Danio rerio: one gene and its partner. The protein of the gene in region 1 interacts with the protein of each later gene in a pairwise test. Links are inferred from orthologs where the notes say so. Each region holds a gene or a part of one and is shown in the gene's direction. Other genes may lie near its edges.

What was found. The genes of interacting proteins can lie anywhere in the genome.
Region 2: the proteins of ppp1cc (region 1) and ppp1r16a interact in binary tests that used the Homo sapiens proteins (3 or more experiments, as listed by UniProt). The link is inferred for Danio rerio from reciprocal best matches to the Homo sapiens genes PPP1CC and PPP1R16A.

What each region holds. Positions count from the first base shown.
Region 1 is NC_133180.1:2,462,007-2,469,834, forward strand, and holds the start of ppp1cc (serine/threonine-protein phosphatase PP1-gamma catalytic subunit A), read left to right. Parts: upstream 1-3,781; 5' UTR 3,782-3,963; coding exon 3,964-4,018; intron 4,019-7,828. UniProt on the Homo sapiens protein: Protein phosphatase that associates with over 200 regulatory proteins to form highly specific holoenzymes which dephosphorylate hundreds of biological targets.
Region 2 is NC_133187.1:14,358,789-14,365,108, forward strand, and holds the end of ppp1r16a (protein phosphatase 1 regulatory subunit 16A), read left to right. Parts: intron 1-2,435; coding exon 2,436-2,909; 3' UTR 2,910-4,549; downstream 4,550-6,320. UniProt on the Homo sapiens protein: Inhibits protein phosphatase 1 activity toward phosphorylase, myosin light chain and myosin substrates.

The sequences.
Region 1 (7,828 bases):
ATCAGGTAGTCAAAACCAAATTCATGTCTTACCTGATCAGCTTCATCACGTCGGGGGTCACCAAGTTGTTGGGATAAATTGCAGACCGTCTGTGTGTTTCCTCAGTAAGCTGGAGCTCCAGGAAGGCAACAACAACTGAGAGATGTGAATCCAACAGTTTATTGCTCTCTTCTAAAGAAGACTGGGGTATTCCCAGCTTTTATACATCATACTCAGGGTTACATGGGTTATGAATACGTGCAAATATTCAGCTCAGTTAGGCAGAACAATTTTATCCAGTGCTCAAGAATGTCAAGGCGCAACGTCAAGGCGCCTAGTACAGGGACAACTTACAATAAGATAAGACACAGTTACAAAACAGAATATTTGGAGAGTGACTACATGGATATTTCTTTCACTGTCATTGACTTAACATTGAACAAACTTTGTGAGCTCATACTATTTATCTATACTATTTCAAACTGTTTTACCTTTATCTATCTATCTATCTATCTATCTATCTATCTATCTATCTATCTATCTATCTATCTATCTATCTATCTATCTATCTATCTGTCTGTCTGTCTGTCTGTCTGTCTGTCTGTCTGTCTGTCTGTCTGTCTGTCTGTCTGTCTGTCTGTCTGTCTGTCTGTCTGTCTGTCTGTCTGTCTGTCTGTCTGTCTGTCTGTCTGTCTGTCTGTCTATTTATCTATCTACTCATACTTTTTTCAAACTGTTTTAAACTAAAAAACTATTACCAACAGGCTTTGTCAAGCCAGCCTCAAAGTTTGTCTCGACAAACTTAAATAATCTAGTTATTATTATTATTATTATTATTATTATTATTATTATTATTATTCAGAATCAGAATCAGAATTGGTTTTATTGCCAAGTGTGCTTCACACACAAGGAATTTGTTTTGGCTATAGAAGCTTCCAGTGTACATAAAGTGACGAGTGACAACACAAAATAAATATAGAAAAAAGAAAGACTATAAACATAAAACAGAGATGGGGTTAGTCAGACAGATCTGGATGTTGATACATATTAGTTATAAATATGCAGATTATGTGGTGCTGTGTCAAAAATTATTATTATTATTATTATTATTATTATTATTATTATTATTATTAGGCTATTATTATTATTATTAGGCTATTATTATTATTATTATTATTATTAGGCTATTATTATTATTATTATTATTATTATTATTATTAGGCTATTATTATTATTATTATTATTATTCGGCTATTATTATTATTATTATTATTATCATTATTATAATTATTAGGCTATTATTATTATTATTAGGCTATTATTATTATTATTATTATTATTATTATTATTATTATTAGGCTATTATTATTATTATTATTATTAGGCTATTATTATTATTATTATTATTATTATTATTATTATTATTATTATTATTATTATTATTATTATTATTATTATTCATTTAGGTTCTGTTGTGTTTGTATTAGGCTATGTGTTGGGTTTCTAACCACAATCTGTTCAGATGCTATGAAAAGTAAGTGCACATTACAGGAAACAAACACCAGAGGACGCTACAGTTCTGTTTCATTGAGGCAGGAATGAAAAATATCTCCTTTTCGTTGAGAAAAGCACATGCTGTTTATCATATAATTAACATATGGTAATAGCTTTTTAAAATGTGAGTTTTGCAAAAATGAATTTATACACAATGTTGTTTTGTCAGAGATGTGTCAGTGTTTTTAATGTGGTTTATTCAGAGGTACATTATGCAATTAATCTGAGGTGATCAGGATGCTGGAACAAGAACTAATTTCCCCCTAAAAGATGAGATGGTGAACATCTGATGCGGAACAGAGTTTGCTGTTGTGTTAGAGATAAGATATATTGATGACATATTATACATATTATTGACATAATGCTTTCAGCGTATTACAACAGCTCGTCACCCAGTGATAAGCACAGTTGTTCAGCAAAATTAAGGTTAAAGTGAGCAGCGTTCATCTGTGATAGCACCCTCCTAATGGATATTGGATAAGACGAGATGGCCAAGCATCCAGCCCAAAATATACAACTATCTCACTAAAACTCCAAGTGTTTTACAAGAGAGAAGTTAAAGACATACAAATCTTTGGATGCCAACAGTTTTGCTCTGAGCAAGAAATAATACTCCATGATAACCAGATTCAACACTGTAGAGCTGAAAACTGAGGTTCTGCCCAGCCAAAGACAAGGAAAGAAGACGGAGCTGTACAAGGCCTGGATAATCATCAACAAGCAGAACTACTGCATTCTCACAGCAAACTACACCTGTACAGCAGGTTATGTGAACACACATTTCATTCTAGGCATTCAGTGTCCGCAGTTTAATTAACCATATTGAACTGTTTTTGCTGCAATCAAAAACCAGTAACGTGTCTGATTCAGCATAGCGTGAACTCACCTGATATAACATGAGAACTGCAGAGTCCAGCATTTCTAATTAGGTCCTCACTCCATTCAGCTCCCTTATAGCTAAATATGTCTGCAGTTGGCATTAAAGCAGTGTGGTGTACGGTAAATGTTAAGCTGCATTTGAAAAGTTGGATTTGGCACCCTACCGCACAACTATTACTATTGACACCAGGAACCCCTGTGACGTAGGTTGATAATTTCTCTAAATATAGGCTTAAGTTTTTTAATTTAAAACAACTTTGAACAGATTCCTTATTTTATGATGGATAATAATAAATTAGCATTTGAAAAAATAAGTATTTTTTCGAATTTCTTAGTTCAAAATGTTTAATTTAAATTCTAATCTCATTACATTATTTGTAAAAAGTAATAGTGTAAATTTTAAATGCACAGTTGTAAATAAACACAATTTTTTGTTAATAGTATGGTAAGCACTTTGACAAAAATATAGGAAAATATTTGTTGCGTCAAAAAGTATTGTAATGATAACCATCCGACAAGCTAATCCAAAAATTTGTGCTTAAAATGTCAATGTATTTGATAAAAATGAGCCGAATAGCTGCAAAAAGTTCCACTTTTTGAGAACCCTTTTAATAGGCTGGCTACGGGCCTGCATTGCAATGCTGTAGTATTTTTAATACCTAAATTAGCATGAATTAAATGCATACTGAGTAAATACCTTACCACAAATGACAAAATATGTAATGGTATTGACAGTTGACAAAGGATGAGGTTAGTTAACATGAAAAGTAATGTCAAATACTATAAAACTAGTTTTTTTTTAATGCCAAAATCAGCATTAATTAATTTCTAATGCAAAAATACTACAAATTAAATAATATTTTTTTTACTATAATGAATGACAATTGACAAAAAAATGTGGTTAGTTAATATAAAAGGTCATGTCAAATACTGTAAAACTAGATTTTATGCCAAAATTAATAATTTTTTATTAGGTTATTATAATAAATAACAGTTGACAAGGCATCTGGTTAATTAACATAAACAGAACTGTCAAATAATGTAATACTAGTACATGTGTATACCCGAATCAGCATAAATTAAATGCATAATGCAATTTTTTCAAATGAAATAATATTTGTATTAGGTCTACTGTAATAACAGCATGCCAAAAGACGTTGTTGGTTAAAATAAATAATTATGTTAATGTGTAGGATATGTTTTAAACATGTGTTTTTAAAAGTTTTTCATTGCAATTAACATTCAACGTCACACGTTATTGTGAAAGTCAGCGGCACGCCCTCCTCTTTCCTCCGCACTACTTTTCTTCCTTTCCTTTGTGTTCATCCGCCCTCCCGTTTCCATCAGCGGTGAAACCGAGCCGAATTGCGTGTCCTTCCGCAGAGCCGGTGCGCCACCGCCGCAGCACGCGCGTCTAACGGGCCCGCTCGAGCATTTTAATCTTTTCTTTTAGAGTTTTGTGATTAACCAGTTTGTTTTTAATCGAAGTCGTTTTATCTGTCGTGTCTGGTGTGTTTTAAGCGGTGGTGTTTGTGTTTTTATCGGCTAGTCATGGCTGACATCGACAAACTCAACATAGACAGCATCATTCAGCGCCTGCTCGAGGGTGAGTTTCAAGCCAAGTGACAGCTAAAATGTACTTTTAATAACATAAGTAACTATATAATTGCCATAAGGGTTGTGTGTGTATATGTATATGCTTGATCTATCAACTCTGTCGTTTTTATGGATGTTACGTTAGCTGAGCTAGCGAGAGTTAGCTGCGCATTAGCTCTGCTCACTGACACAAACGGCTGTGTGTCAAATACAGAGTTTTCTACATAGACACTATACTGATATATTTGAAGATTATATATTATTGGTTGGTTTCGAATGGACAGTACTTTTGACTATAAAATACACTCTGTGTGGGCAGTTCACTGGTGTTTGTGACACTGCCAAGCTGTACGCGCGGTTTCGGTGCTTCAGTAAACACATTACGTTAGTACACTGACTAATGCTGATATTATGATATTGAATACATATTTGAGCATCAAAACAGCTGTTTATTAGTGTACCACAGTCATTAAAATTAACAACAGGGCTTGAAATGTCAAAAGTGTGATTTCTAGCGCTAGGAAAAACAATATTTTTGAGTTCAACCCAAATTTATACAATTTGAGGGTGTCATCTCTATAAAATGTTTATTAAAAATCCTTGCTTTAATTAGACATCTTAAAACCTTATTTAATGACTAACAATATGAAACTGTTGAAAATGAGAACTTTAAAACATGATAAACTCTTAATTCTGATTGAATATGAACACTGTATTTGCTTATATTATGACTTTAAACATGTATTATTATTACATGTAAATATATTTTTTAGGGGGGGAAGGACATCACATCCTGTACAACTGCAGGTTATACAGTGTTCATACAGTCATGGAAAACCTGGAAAAGTCATGGAATTTTTACATGGCATTTTCCAGGCCTGGAAAAGTTTTGGAAAAACAGAAAAACCTACACAGTTTTAGAAAAGTCATGACAAATACTTGAATATAGGCTTTTCTCTTATTTTCTGTCCTTGGCCAATCACATACTCTCATATTATTAGTGCGGTGTAAGCATTATCTAAATTAATTTTGCATGGATATAAATTGAAAGTAAATGGATTGTTGCATGTTTTATGCTATGCTCTAATAAATTTGAACATGCATTGCTTTTCTTTTACCACGCATATGTAGACATTGCATGAAACATTAGGTCATGAACATTTACATGAAAGTCTTGGCAAAATCATGAAATTTTAGTAGTAAAAATGTGTATGAGCCCAACTATGTTTACAACATTTTAGCTTTTTTTTGAATTGACTGTAATGAAATGTGCACCTTTTGTAAAGCTGCTTTGAAATGAATTATTGTGAAAAGCACTATACAAATAGATTTATATTTTATTATACAATGAATTGTATCTTTGCAAAATATAATTGCTTTCTGGAATGCATTATAAAAGCAGCAGGTGCAATAAAGGCAGAATGATTATGCAAGATTTTATAGTTTTATTGTATACAGTGAAGAAATGCATTTACATAACATTTCTCGCTTGTTTAATTTTTATATGCAACACAGTTCATATTGGCAGATATTATTATTTAGACTAACATTAAATGTATTATTAAGGTATGTATCCTTCATAAGCGGGTCTGACTTCAGATTTAGCACTGCAGCAGCTTTGACCCATTTTTACTTGTACTTTCTGCAGTAGTGATTTCAGCATCATACACATACTGATATGCATGTGCTTTTACTTTGTCCTCTTACACTGTAAAAAATATATTAGTGAACAGTTTCTCTATTTTGTGTGTTTTGGGTTTATTTGCGGTGGCAAATTGCATTATGCTATGTTGATCTCTCCTCTGTTGTATTTTTAACATCAAAAGTGCACAAAGTGACTTATTCACATTTTAGTCATTTGAAATAATAATATCATGTATAAAAATAATATCTAAAGAAATAAGTCTGTTAAAGAATAGAAAATGTTTGTTACAATGTTTTTGTAGCGTAATATACAACACCAACCAGACAGTATATCACTTTAAGCTATTAAAAAAGTAAATAAGTCACTTTTTTTAACTTTACAAGGTTAAAAGTTGTTGGAGGAAAGTAATAATCCAATTCAAAAGCGTAAATAAATGGGGGAAAGTAAAAACATGAATCACAAAATACATAAAACTGCTTATTTAAAGATTTTTTATTGCTTAGGTTTATTTTTATGCAGTGTGAAATAATGGCTGCGCTAAAATTTTGACATTGTCATGGAGAGATGCTATAAATTATATTTGGGTAATAATAATGCATAATGTTTAATTATGATGCACCTTTCTAAGCTCAAAGCGCCACAACATTTACAAACATAAGGTTGCAACCAAAGCCTAAATTACAAACTTTCATAATCAAATCTCTGTATTAATTCACATCGCAATAATGAATAAAAAACAATTAAGCAAATTTATTTTTTAAAATGTCAGTGATATCACAAATGGGCAAATATGGCTCTAAATTTAAAATTATTTATTTTAAAATAAATATATTACCAGTATATTAGGAACACCCTACTCCTTGCATATTTTCTAAGATTCCTCTGTTAAATATTTTATTAGACTGTCCTGCTTTTAATGTTTGTAGAAGACTTTTAATGAAGTTTTAAATAATTATTCAGTAAAGATTTGACCGAAAAACGTTTTTGAATTTTTCTTATATATTAATGTAAAATGCCTGATGTATCTTGTTTGTTTGTATGTTTTTATTGCTTGTTTGAATAGTTTTTTCTTTTTGCTTTAAAATTAAAGGCTACAATCAACAGCCCAAATTATTACTTTTGTTTTTTATTAATCTTCCAAATCAGTACTCCGATTAAAAAAATGTCTGCAAACATGTAAAAGCCATATTTTTCCCTAAAATCTACATTTGTAACATTGTTTCTGCTTTGGTGAAATATAAGACACATGCACCTTACTAAAGACCAATAGCAAACATTTACAGCACAATTATGTGCTTTTAAGCATGGTGAGCAGAACATGCACACCTTTAATTATCCCCAGAAATGTTTACAGAAATAATAACCATGATTTATTGTTTATGCATCAACATCAAGGCCAGAACTAATGAATACATTGACTGCATAAAAAAAGAGTTTTTTTGCTATAAAATGTCAGGATGAAAAGCAAAGAAAAAGGAAAGCAATATATGGTAACACTTATACACACTAGTCATTCATTATTTCATTCATTTTCCTTTGGCTTACTCTCTTTATTTATCAGGGTTCGCCACAGCGGAATGAACCACCAACTTATCCACTATCCAGCATATGTTTTACGCAGTGGATGCCCTTGCTATTTAATTTATTCAATTCCCCTATAGCGCATGTGTTTGGACTAAAGGCATGGGCCGGTATAAGATTCTGACGGTATAATAACCTTGTATAAAAGTATCACAGTTTTGCGGTATTGGGATTACTGTACTAAAATATATATATTTTAAATGTCTGGGAAAAAACCTAAAACTTTTTTCCCTTTTGAACACAGTAGGTTTTACTTTGAGAAACATTTAAAATATTTAGGAGCAGAAAATGTGTCAGGCTAAATGAATTATTGACTTCTGCTGTCTTTATTTGTTTTAAAAACTTTTTTTTTTTACAATTTAAAACGGCATCTTCTGCTGAAGATACTGTTGTCTTAAAAACACACACGCACGCACGCACGCACGCACACACACACACACACACACACACACATACACACACACACACACACAAAAACGTTTATAAAAATCATAAACATACCTTAGGGATGGTATTGCAGAAAATTTTCACCATTTTAAAACCTTGGCTTTTCCAAACCGTGGTGTACCTTGGTGTTGACTGTCTCAATTCAGG
Region 2 (6,320 bases), on another chromosome or scaffold:
TTATAACTCACCGGCAATGGATGAATTTGTCAATAAATATAGATTTCTCTGATACTGTGAATTTTTCACTTTTATATATATATATATATATATATATATATATATATATATATATATATATATATATATATATATATATATATATATATATAATTTTATTTATTTATTATTTTTTTTGAGCCAGTCTACTCAACCCTGTGGTTATAGTTTGTTATGCTCTGTGGAAAATAAGGATTTAATTAATGCTTCACTGTAATTGTTGTATTACAAACCTCTGTCATATATGTGCTTTTATTATAAAAGGATATATATGTTTGATTTGATCAATGTCATTAGAAATAATAAAAATAAATATTTAAATAATGGAGCCTAGTTTTCAGCCAGCATTATTGTTTATTGAGATTAAAATAATAAGAAAAAGAAATTGAAATTGAGATGAGAAATATTGTTATAGCAACACTTGTGACTGCTTTGGAAAATCATAGACATCATGGCTGACTGTGAAGGAACATGTAGCCTGGCACATTTGTTATGACAAGTCAAGATTTTATCGAGACAAAATCGCATAATCTGACATTGTGACATTCGTAACTAACAATAAAAATCATATGGTCTGACCAGGGTTTAAGACCAACCAGGCCACTTTATGAATGAAATTTAGGAATACGATGACACCACAGAACAAAAATAAACAAAAACGCATTCTAAAGTGAGTATTTCTATGATTTTAAAGGACATAGACTTAGATATGGAAGACTTTAAAAAAAAAAAAAAAAAAAAAAAATATATATATATATATATATATATATATATATATATATATATATATATATATATATATATATATATATATATATATATATATGCGCTATTATTTATTTAACTGCTATTAAAATATACTACTAATCCACTCGTTAATCAGTTTTTTTTGTAAGTTTTAGGCCTGTAGCCAAGGGGGTTTGGGTGGTTCGAAAGACCAAAAGTTAGACTATTATTATTATTTTAAAATTTTTCCCATCATTATCAAAATAGGCAAATTCTGACTGAGGAAAGTAATAAATAAGTATCTTTTCATATTTTTTATTCAAAATGTTCATTATTTATATAACTATAATATAAAACTTACAGTTTAAATGCACACTTGTAAATAAACACTTAAAACGGTAGTTTGGCAATTTGACAGAATGGTTGAAAGTATTTTTTGGTACATCAAAAAGTGTGGTTATTATAACCATCCAACACGATAACCCAGCAAGCATTAGTTTTTTAAAATGTTACTAAAATGCAATATTATGCATAATTAAATGGAAAGTCAGACAAATAACTGCAAAAAAGTTTTTTTTAGTGCCCCTTAGTGCCCCCACCAGTGCCGATATACAGCCATATCTCGCTGCTACGAGTGTGATATTGTGTTTATACAACAGTTTGACGACATAATTGTGTATATAAAAACAAAATCAAACATGGAGAGTCTCAAAAACCCTTTTGTATGAGGAACTACTTTCTTCCGGATTCAAATCATAAGCTGACAGCTAAACAGTTGAGCAAGCATCATTTAAACTTTAGATCTGTAGTGTCTGCTTTTTGCTGGCTGTATGTGGGAGGAGTAATACACAAAGGGTAAAGAGGCTGTAGGAGTTCTGATATTGCAGAATATTGCACGGCTATCAGCCAATCAGATTTGAGAACCAGACAGAACTGTTCTGTGTGTGTGTGTGTGTGTGTATATATATATATATATATATATATATATATATATATATATATATATATATATATATATATATTTTTTTTTTTTTTTTTAATTAAATATCGCAGACTAGCCTATATCAGCCTGCTACAACAACAGACTGCATTAAAGCCAGGGAAAACACGAGCATTAACGGCGTTATCATGATGGGCTCATTCAGTAGCGAACTTGCGTTTATGTGACTTACAATTTCGTTGAAAAATGCTCCTTATGTTCACCTTTTTTTTTTTTTTTTTTTTTGCCATCATCCTCACTCGTGTGTCACCCAACACACCTTATTCTGGCACAGGAAAAAACAAAACAATCCACTTCATTTGTCGCTGCTTGTATCTGAACACAGCCACAGCCTCTCACATAATAGCATGGAAAGGCACAGCCAATCAAAATGTCCATGTTTGTTTTGGGGGCGGTAGGACTTAAGGAAAAAACGTGATTTAACCTGCGTGTCTAGGTCAATGTTGACATCGCAATTTTTTTTTAAAGTGGATTAAATTATTTGTTGGGACATTTCTATGTCTCAGTGGATATTGGTGGGGACACATCACCTCCATCCACCCTAAATCTACGCCCAAATAATGGGATGATTATGTGAACTGATCTTGTGTTTATTGAGAGCTTAGTCATGTATTTGTGCCTTGACTATTCTTGATGGATTTTCTTGTATTTTTTCCCTCTTTTGATTTAGATGTCCAGCTCTAATGCCATCGCTGTTCCTCCATTAGACGTTGGCGAGGTGGAAAATGGAGCCCAAGTTATAGGGAACGGTAGCACAGGTTCATTTTCAGGAGAACTCCAGAGCGGGGGGCTCATGGATCGCAGCGCCTCCTATCAGCTCTCTCCAGGTTCAGCTTCTGCTGGCGGGGACAGCATGAGCAGAGAGAGATCTCACCACACACTCGCAGATCTCAAACGACAGAGAGCTGCAGCTAAACTGAATAAGCATCCAGCACCACCTTTACCCTTGTCTGCAGGCACACAGGATGAGCCTGTCCCTGAGGGGCCTCCAGGGACGCTGGAGCCCTCCGAATCAGTACAACAGGTTGTAGCTCCTAATGCTGTGTACTTTACCCAGGCTAGTGGAGATCCACCTCTGCTGAAGCTCAAAGCACCAGAAGAGGAAACAACCAATACAAAAGAGCCATGCTGTGGACTCATGTAGAAGCAGCAAATGAACAGATTTGGTTTCTTATGATTTTGCTGTTCTTTCTACATTAACAGAATGGAAAGTGTCTGGCAGGTACGTGGAATTCAGTTTTATATCTTACACTTTGTCTGACTATTGCACATGAATGTTTTTTCAACACTAATATATTATTACATGTATATTTCATAACACTAAGAAATGTATGATGGACCAGACAGATTTCTGACTGAATATCGCAAATGTGAAGAAGTTAGAAGTTCCCGCATTTGCAAAACTTTCATGGAGTAATTGCAATGTTTTTGCAGTATTTCACACTATTATGCTTGTATTGTTTCTTTTATTTAGTTGTTGTGGTCATTTAAAGTTTCATAGTATTGGCAATGTTCAATACATTGAGAAAAAAAAGACACTGAGCACTTTTGACCAAACTTTCTGCAATTTTCTTAACTTTAACACACATACACACATATACAGTATATAGATTAATGTGACAAAAAAAGCACATTTGAGTTGCACTGATCACTATAAAACCACATTTCATGTATTTTAAAGGCTGCGTCTAGAAAGTACCATAGCACACTTGCTCTTGGGGTGTGGGCACACCTGGCACATTTGGTTTGATTAAAACAAGCTTAATACAAAATCGAGAGTTTCACCAAACAGACAGACTTGGGCCACTAGGAGAGTCCTGGTTAGCTTCCAAACAAACTAGTTCGGTTTGACTGAAATGTCCACTTAGCATCAACTTAAGATCTGAAAATGAATCAGAAACAGGTTGTGAAGTCACAATCACTTGATTTAATGCAGAAAAAACTGTTTATCTTACAAAAAGGGGGAATGGCATATCCTGGCAACCATCTATTAAACACAAGCGTGCTTGGTGGACAAATAAGAAAGTCTTTGAAATTAAGCTTAAAGGTTTGATATTAATAGGTTCAATCGTATCTAAAAGAACAATGTCAATGCATAGTGAGCTGGATTAAATGCATAATTTTCTTTTTTGGAACAAATCAACTAAGAGAACCAAACTACAAGTGTGAACACATTCTTAGTCTTCTTCAACACCTGGTTGAATCATTTCATATCTCTTTCATCTGGCTTTGTCTTTTTGGTGTTTACCATAAAATAAAATGCTGAAAGATTGTTATTTTAGTGAGTGCAAATCATTGTTTATTTTATATTGCTTACCTTTCCTTAAATGTTTATATCCCAGATTATGTCGTGGATAATATTTTAATTTATTTAAAACATGCATAAAATGTTGTCTCAATGTAACTAAATGTATGTCGTAAAAGACACTTTACTGTACATTGGAGTGCTTATTGTAATCTAAGAAATAAAATGGGATTGTATTTTACACCTTAAACTGTGCTGAAGCATCACAATTTAAAAGGCTATTTTATACAAGTATATTCTTCTGATTTCAAATGATTTCTTATTGAATAAGGAAAAAATATGCAGACCATACATTTTTGAATTTTTAAAAAGTTTTTTATAGTGAGAAACTAAGTAGACTTAAATAAAAAAACAACAATTTTGTATCTATATTCAGGAAATGTGGTTAATTTCAGTTAATTTTTTTTTAATTTTAAAGATGTATACAAAAGTCTTGTCGTCGATCCCAGTTGTAGGAACAACAAATAATAACTTGACTTCTAGTTGATCATTTGATTCATCTGATGTATCATCAGTTGAACTGCATCCCAATCATCACAAATACTGTAAAAGACCTATTGGATTCCGCATGGACCCAAGATTCGAATAGAAATCAGTCAAGTTTGGTGAAGGAAAAATCATGGTTTGATTTTTACATTACATTACAAACCACAGGTGAGACCAGATCTTCAGCAGGATTGCGCTTCTTTTCATACTTCAGCTTCTACATCAATGTTCCTGAAACCAAAGAAGGTCAAGCTGCTGCAGGATTGGCCAGCCCAGTCACCAGACATTAACAGTATTGAGCATGTATGGGGTAAGATGAAGGAGGAGGCACTGAAGATGAATCCAAAAAAATCTTGATGAACTCTAGGAGTCCTGCAAGAACGATTTTTTGCCATTCCAGATGACTATTAATAAGTTATTTGAGTCATTGCAGAGATGTATGAATGCAGTCCTCCATGCTCATGGGAGTCATACACAATATTAATTGCGCACTGCACCATCACTTTATATTCTATACTGTACATTATTTCTGTTAAGTGTCAAAACTTTTGTCTTAGCAGAGTCAGACCTTACTGTCCTAATTAAATTTAAAATCAAGGCATGATCATATTTTATTTTGGTAAAATAACCGTAATCTAGAGGCCTTTGCCTCTCATATAAGCCACTTCTGATACCAAAATGATCAACTAGAATTCAAGTTATTTTTGTTGCTCTTACAACTGGGATAAACAACAAGACATTTGTGAGACACTGTACCCCTGTAGGGTAAATTATCACGCCTGAATCGCAGAAAGTTAGTGTACTTCTGTTTCTATTTTTTTATCCTGCTAAATAATTGACAATATAGTGCTGTAAAAAAGGAATGAAAGCAAGAAGTATGGTTTAATTGGCTTTTAATTGATTTAAGTCTATTTTTAGTCAGATTTTAGTCAGATTTCTTTGCACTTTAAGGCTTAAGGCTGCATTTGATGTAAAATTGTGCTGCTTTGTTTACAAGCAGATAAAAGTAATATTTAATAGTTTTGTGTAAATAATAGTGATTTTTCAATAATAGTGAAAATGTGATTTTTCCAGAATAACGTGCAAGGTCTTCTTTACCTGTTGTGATAAGATTAAGTCCTCTTGTTATTTTGCTTTGGTGCTTCAGTCCTGAAATGTCAAGAACATGTCTTTCCTTACCATATCTTTTGTGCAGTTTTACCTTGGAGTTTTAAATGTATTTGAATAATAGCTAATGATAATAATAGCAGCAATTCACTTTTAATAATAATTGACTTACAGGTATAAATTTACCTGCTGGATCTGTTTTTGTGTTTTTTAACTATTGTCTGTAAAATGGTTTTATTAATTTAATTTTTTTTTTTTACTTATTTAATGAACTGGTAACACTTTATAATATCTACATGCCATAAATCATTTATTGAGCATTAGCAAATAGTTAATTCATTATTTGTTAAGCATTAACTCTACATTAATAGACGTTAGTAAGCAGTTGGTAAATACAGCTAACAATGCTGTTTTCTTCACTTATAAGCACACTTTTTAATGATTGTATTTTCATGCATCGTTAAAGATAATTTTTTCATTACTTAAGTACAGCATTATTTACAAATTAGTTAATTAAGAATAGTTAGTGCTATTTTAAGATCGTTCAGAATGCATAAGTAAATTATTAAACTATTCAAATTAACATTCATTTATTTTATTTTCGGCATAGTATTATTAATCTGGGGTCACCACAGTGGAATGAACCGCTAACTTATC